2 linked regions of the Bombyx mori genome follow. The protein of the gene in region 1 purifies or fractionates together with the protein of each later gene. This does not show direct contact. Links are inferred from orthologs where the notes say so. Each region holds a gene or a part of one and is shown on either strand. Other genes may lie near its edges.

What was found. The genes of interacting proteins can lie anywhere in the genome.
Region 2: the proteins of Ywhae (region 1) and inositol polyphosphate 5-phosphatase E purify together in Homo sapiens (affinity purification with mass spectrometry; 3 studies listed by BioGRID and IntAct, with this or other methods). This does not show direct contact. The link is inferred for Bombyx mori from reciprocal best matches to the Homo sapiens genes YWHAE and INPP5E.

The regions. Positions count from the first base shown.
Region 1 is NC_085122.1:14,139,116-14,142,775, forward strand, and holds part of Ywhae (14-3-3 epsilon protein), read left to right. Parts: intron 1-2,036; coding exon 2,037-2,192; intron 2,193-2,850; coding exon 2,851-3,255; 3' UTR 3,256-3,660. UniProt on the Homo sapiens protein: Adapter protein implicated in the regulation of a large spectrum of both general and specialized signaling pathways. Binds to a large number of partners, usually by recognition of a phosphoserine or phosphothreonine motif.
Region 2 is NC_085123.1:6,741,768-6,745,527, reverse strand, and holds the start of inositol polyphosphate 5-phosphatase E, read right to left. Parts: upstream 2,829-3,760; 5' UTR 2,672-2,828; coding exon 2,007-2,671; intron 1,863-2,006; coding exon 1,743-1,862; intron 153-1,742; coding exon 24-152; intron 1-23. Other genes in the region: uncharacterized protein LOC101746422, read right to left, coding at 3,032-3,192, 3,696-3,760. UniProt on the Homo sapiens protein: Phosphatidylinositol (PtdIns) phosphatase that specifically hydrolyzes the 5-phosphate of phosphatidylinositol-3,4,5-trisphosphate (PtdIns(3,4,5)P3), phosphatidylinositol 4,5-bisphosphate (PtdIns(4,5)P2) and phosphatidylinositol 3,5-bisphosphate (PtdIns(3,5)P2).

The DNA.
Region 1 (3,660 bases):
GTGTACGTACGATGACAGTACCTGTCACGCAAAGGATTTTCATAATTTAATATCTTTATTAAGTAAAATTGACTGAACTTTGTTTTGATAAATCTCGCATCGAAATCTAGAAGAAATAAATTTAATGACGACAAAAAGATCATCGGGCTAGATAGATATTTGCGTATCGATCGACTGCGGCACATTGAGGAATATGAATTGCAAATGTTCAATTGAGACTGACTCATCTACAAGGCATCATCGGTTAGAATCTTTACGATCCTTACTGACTTACTGCTAGGAATGAGGATAAAATAATTTACGTTCATATATACTTATATCTCTTGATTACTGTATAAAAATCAATTTCAGTCTTTGAATTCCTAAGTAGAGCGTTCGTGGCTGTAGAACATATTTCGTGTAATGGCCTTTATTCAGCTCTTTAAGAAAAAACGCTCAGACACTCGCTCTCCAATAATTGCTACAGATGTTCTGAATTTGTTGGTGTTCGATTTTTACCCTTCTGTCGTGTTCATCCCAAACCAGTTCAATGGAAAAGAGGTCAGATCACTGAGGTGGCCATTGCCTTAGACAAGGCCATTCTTTCTGAAAAAGATCGTAACCTAATGAATCGATTCACGAAATAATCGAAGATTTCGAAAGAACCAATTGTTTTCAAGTTTGCATTTACAATGTAAACACAAATTGATTTTATTAAAAATAAGTAAGCTCTTCTTGATAGAGAAGATCTATAAACGATTCCTTATCAGTAAAATCAGGTAATTTGATAATAACAATTATTTTTATTACCATATCAGATCAGGTATAAAAGAAAAAAATTGTTTTCTAAATGTATTTGGTACATTAAAAAGTTAAAAAAATAATAACAATGTACATAGCTTATAGTTGCCAACGCTTAATACACTTAAACAGTCTGTGAAGTCTACTGGGATCCAAGCGGCTCCGCTCGTCACTTGCGAGGTTAGCGGAAATTGAAAGAAGGCACTCACAAGGAGCAAATGATCCCACGATACTCATACACATCATGGGGCTGTTGAGTGAACGTGTTGATCAATAGTTTTTTTTGCCAGTAAAGTATAGGGTCATACTTCAGGTACACAACTGCCTGCGATGAATAGTGCTTAATTTCTTCGTTTAAGTCTTGATTTCCCAGTGCAAGTGAATAATATGTAGAGTTGATTTCCACAAGCATGTTATGAAAATCCCCATTACTTTTTCCAAATCAGTATCTTCTGTTCCGTCGACTTCTTCACTTATTCTTTTGTGGGAGTTGTTGCTGTGATATAATATTTAAAATTAAATCATTTATGAAATCATCTATTTGTTGTTCGATAACAGGCTAATCTATACTATATATCTATATATATAAATCTACAGTGGTTTTTACGGATGTTCCATTATAACTACTGAACCATGCATCTGATTGACTTGAAACTTGGTAGCCATGTAGAAAATACATGTACTTAATGGATAAGCTAATATTTGAGTGTTGGACTCCCTAATAATAATGACAATAAATAATGTTAATTTTAAATGTCCAGCAAGCGGGCGAGTTCGGATAGTTGCATATAATTTAATGGTTTTTACCAAAACAGAAAAAAATAAATGCTTAGTGCTTCTTATATGTATTTTATTACTATTGATTGAACTGGACCTGTTTAAGGGTTGACTAAGCAACAGACATGTCTACTATTTTAAACACGATCATTTTCTTTTTACTTTTACAATGTATGTTTGTAATAATAACAGACAGATCAGTCGGTACTGTTGTGGAGTTCTCATTTTCCAAAATTCACTGCCAAGCCTCCAAGTGCGAAGTTGTTAAAAACCCGGTTAAAAATTCTAGGTTCAAACTTGCAAACATTATTGTATGCATGCTCACAATTTGTCTTACCCAAGTTACTTATTTGTAAAAGGTCACATTATCATTAAAATTTAGTATTTTAGTGATATTTTTAAATTGAGTCTTGAAGTTATTTTTTATATAGGCAAAAAGAGGACTTTGTAAATTAACGTGATGTGTGCTCGGCTTGCAGGGCGCAGAAGACAAATTGAACATGATCAGAGCGTACCGCAGCCAGGTTGAGAAGGAGCTCCGTGACATCTGCTCTGACATCCTCGGTGTCCTCGACAAGTACCTCATCCCCAGCTCACAGACCGGAGAATCAAAAGTTTTTTATTACAAAATGAAGGTCAGATTCATAACCATACAATGTTTTATTTTACATATTTTCCAAGAGGAAAAAAGCTTATTTCTAAAAGATATTTATTATAAAGTATTTATGGGTATTAAAGGTAAGTATTAAAGGGTTATTATAAAGTACATATTTATGAAATTAAAATTTATCAAAATGTCACTGATTATCGAAAACATTTCATATCATTATATATATAATGTCATCATACATCTAAGCATTTTATAGTTTATTGAAGAAAAACAAAACATGTAACAAAAATGTGAGATAATTTGGGCATTTTTTTAATTGTGATATGTAATATCTAAATAAACTAAAATTGGTGCTAATACCAAATAAAACGCATCTTTAATTACAAAGATAAATGTCCCGTATTAAGTGAAATGTTGCTTAAATAGCTTTTCACCTTTCGATGTGTATATATGTAAACTTATATAAGTATGTATGTCCAGTCTCTGGTAGCCATAACACCGAGAATCTTAATTTGGGGCCGCGTGATTTGTTCTTTGTTATTTATATTCATTTATTTATCACTGACATTTTCGTGTTGTTACAAACATTTTATTTCATACTAAGTTTGTGAAGATAATAACGAGCACACCGAAAAGGCAAATGTTAGTAGATGTAATTGTACATGTGGGTGCGTTTGTTGCAGGGCGACTACCACCGGTACCTGGCCGAGTTCGCGACCGGCAACGACCGCAAGGAGGCTGCCGAGAACTCGCTGGTCGCGTACAAGGCAGCCTCCGACATCGCCATGACCGAACTGCCCCCCACCCACCCCATCCGCCTCGGACTCGCGCTCAACTTCTCCGTGTTCTACTACGAGATCCTGAACAGCCCGGACCGCGCCTGCCGGCTCGCCAAGGCCGCCTTCGACGACGCCATCGCCGAACTGGACACGCTCTCGGAGGAGAGCTACAAGGACTCCACGCTCATCATGCAGCTGCTGCGGGACAACCTCACGCTGTGGACCTCCGACATGCAGGGCGACGGGGAGTCCGCCGACGCCGAGCAGAAGGAGCCGGCGCAGGACGGCGAGGACCAGGACGTCTCGTAATGGCCGCGCCTCCCCCTAATTATATACAAATAACTATAGTATCGTATAAGAGCCAGCCCGCAGTGCCGACCCGCGGGCCCGGGACCGCCCTCTCACTGTTCGTTTTCGATTATGGAAAGTATATCATATGTAATATAATACTTTGGTATTGCATTTTAACTGTTGTTTAGAAAACGTTGTCTAATCTCGGCTCCGGTCCCGCCGACAGGCCCTCCGCGCACTGTCCGGCGATTCCGCTTCTTTCGTATTACAACATTTGGAGTATTCACATTTGAATTGCTTTAATTACTTACGAGTATTGTGATAGAGATTTTTGTATATTTTAATTTATTTTTTTTAATTTCGCAAAGTATCTCTAAAATGAAGTGTAGCGCTCCACCCCCAGGACGATCGGTAGTCGTAACG
Region 2 (3,760 bases), on another chromosome or scaffold:
ATTTTAATACAATCAGATGTTACCTTGGCGGTGCTTGCCCATTCATGTTCCATGAGCCAACAAATATCTTGACTTCTCTATCAGGAAAAACATGTTCTAGTTCAGCTGCGCCGAGGAGTGAATGTGAGGCAAGTCTACCATAAAGGTAATTTCTGAAATAAACATTTTCATTTGATCTTTCCATTTTTGTAATTGAAGTACCAATAGATTTTTCTGCATTAAAATAGAATACGACACTAAACACACGATAAAAAAAAAACAGTGTATTATATAAAACTTTTAAAACATGTTCTGTAGAATGTACTACAAGTTTTAATTTAGGATCTCATTTTCGTAGTACGTTATTGTAATTAACTTCAAGGTAACAGTGACTCAGTCCCCATATTGTACTTGGCTGATAAGGTAAAGGCAAAGTAAATAATTAGTTTGATTTATTTATGACTCATTACTTAAATATATTTTTTAATGATTATATGTTATAAAACATTCTCTGAAAAATAGCATAATATAAAAATATCAGATGCCTATAAATTTCATCTGATAATATTATGTATATAGTGTCAATGTATAATATAATAGAAATATATAGTATTTCTAATTGACTTTTTTATTATTATTGGGTGAACGAGTTCATAGCCCACCTGGTGTTAAGTGGTTACCAGAGCTCATAGACATCTGCGATGTTGATGCTGTCATCCACTTTAAGACATGAGTTCTTACAATTACAATAGTTGCACCATCCTTCAAACCAAAACCCATGAATGCTTCACGGTAAAAATAGGCTGGGTAGTGGTATCTAGCCATGCAGAATCACAAGACTACCACTATTATACCCCAATTAACAATCACCATTACAATTCATCTATAACAATTATTTATTAATTGGTTGCTTATGAAAGGAGCTAATGCTTATTTTTTAATACCTTTATTTAAACTTTCTTTATAAAGTAAATTTAAGATTATTTTACATAATTCTAATATGTTTGATAATTTATTGTATAAAGAGTATTGGTAAGTGAGCTTGGCTACTTGTTTTGTATTAGATTTCCTTTCCATCTTCAGGACAGATGGATCAAGTGTCAAAGGTACTCTGGTGGTGGTAAGGTAGCCTAACAAAAATATCACCAGTGGCAGCTGTGAACCTCCACCACCAGATCAGAATAAGAACTCACTGAGGGAATCTAGCTAGAAACATAATTAGCTGATGCTATAAGGCAAGTGTGACAACAAATTTGGCTGAGTTTGGTTTTCTATTATACTACTTCATCCCGAATAGTGGTTTTTTTCCTACATATTCGCTGGTAACCTAAGGAGCAATTTCAGCTGCTCGCAGATGGGTAGGTGAGCTCATGTGCTCAACCTGAAATAATTTGCTTATACTAGCCCTAGCAAGAGTAGTGCTTCGCAGAATCTACCACCAGAACAGAATTGCGACCAACTGAAAAAATGCAGCGAGAAATTCAGTTGATTGTGTCTATGGGTAATAGCTTTCTCTCCTTATTGTTGTATTCTGCGAAATAACATGGCTAAGCATTCTCGACTAGTTATCTTACTTTTTTAATACTCTACTTTTATCTACAGTGAGACTTGAGTAATTATTTTTTAATATACCATTTATTTCAGTAGTTTTGGTAATAATTTATAAAATACTATAGATAATAATATATAATATACTATATAATAATAATACCGTAAGTAGTTTGTATTAAGCATATGATTGTATATGGATGTTTATATCCTACCTTTCACGAGCTTCTTGTGTGGGTATGAGGCGTAGCACCTGTGCAGCAAGCAAAGAGTTACGTGCTAAGCTATCAGTGCTACCCGCACGAGAAGCAGACCGGGTTATTGTTGATTTACTTCTATAAAATGAAGTGGGTATATTATAATTTTTATTCATACACTAAGAAAAACCAATCTTTGTTAATCTTTAATAGATCATTTTTTTTTTAATGATTATAAATTGTTTAATAAAAAATACTACAATATAATAACCTAATAATTACCTTCTTTTACGATCTAGAGAACTACTCCTATCACTCTCGGGAGATGAAGAACGAAATAGTGGTTTGCTTTCAGTAGAAATCAGATGATCAGCTGATAAACGTTTGACAAAGAGTTTATTTTTTGTTTTGATGCCCTCAAATGAACCAGAATGTTCAAAGCTCTTTTTTGAATCATCACTTTTAGGAAATTTGATAGTTGCTTTGGGTATTTCGTCTGATTTCGTTTGAGAAATAGTTTGGTCACTTAAACTATTAATAGAATTCGATACTGGACTGCAACCTCTGGATGTATCTGGACACTGTTCATCTTTGGAATGACCTCCATCTACTAAGCTCTTGGGTCGAGATCTTCTAAAGAAGGTACGGCAGCATTTAGGGTTGATCTCCTCTTCTCTTTGGTTGTGACTGACACCGTGACTACTATTCTGGGAAAGTGGTTCAGCACTAGCATTTCGTTGATTATCTATCGCTTCTACACTGGTTTCGATATGCTGCGCACTTTGAGCTAAAAAAGGATCCGCGGGCGATATGGGCCGAGACGTGGACTGAGAAAATTCATCGTTTGATTCTGTATCAACATAGCAACCGACTCGAGGAGACTTTTTTACGAATAACCGTTTCCGCAAAGACAATTTCTGTTTTGTTCTGGTAGGAGACGTAGTCATTGTTAATTTAGTAAGAGTTTTTATGTTACTTTATGTTATTGATTACATATTTTATCTAAAATTCTTAACCTAGGTATCAAGTTTTTTAACAGACATTTTGGTAGCTATAGCTATTTTTCACTTAATGACAATTTGGACTCTTGGACACTGACAAAAGCGTTTTTCCTAGGTAACGTCATGTCTCTGAATAATCTGTGGGGATATAGTCAACCAACGTTAGCTTGAGTACGAGGTACAGATACTCTAGGACGTAATATTGTGGAAGTACTTAATGACAAGAGCTAATGTAATTTCTGTATTTTATTGAGATATTACAAAAAAATATTCTGATTTGAAGAAAATAAAATGAACATTATTTATTTAAACATGTAACCCGATTAGGATCATTATCACAGAAAAGAACAACACTCTATTCATTTTGATATTTACTCCGCTTCCTGTCCCAGGTACTAATAGATTAATGCCGGTGTATGCAGGATACGGAGACAAATTACCGCCGACTATAGACTGAATTCCATCACCTAAAACATGTGTAGTTCATTTTAGTTCTAATTTGATGACATAATATTCTGAGGACTAGATGTGTAGGACGTGAAGTAATAGCAGTACGTGTAGAATAGATAGATTGTTATATAGTTCATTATTTGTTTCTCTTGTACCTATGTAGTCCATTATTCATAGTTGCTATCTTCTTGTTACACTATAGGTACTGCCCTTTGAGCTCGATATCTATTACCGTCGCTTTGCTGTTTCTGAACTTTGTAGGCTAACATAACCGCCACCACCAACACCGCTTCCAACACAATTGAGCCTTCGGATCACTCCCTTTTAAATAAGTAATGGTATTCACGCTGTCGTGTCTATAGGTTTCAATAACCATTTAAAATTAAGTGGGTCGTTTCATATACTTACACTAATAAAAACAATCTTACAGCATGCTTCAATTATACCATTCCTAAATGTTTATTTTTATTTTTATTTTGTAATATTATAAATAAAAAATAAGCAAATTGTAATAAGTTACCAATGTTGCACAAATCATTTGTGCATGCTCTATAAAAAGTTCGGAATGTTGGATCTGTAACTTCG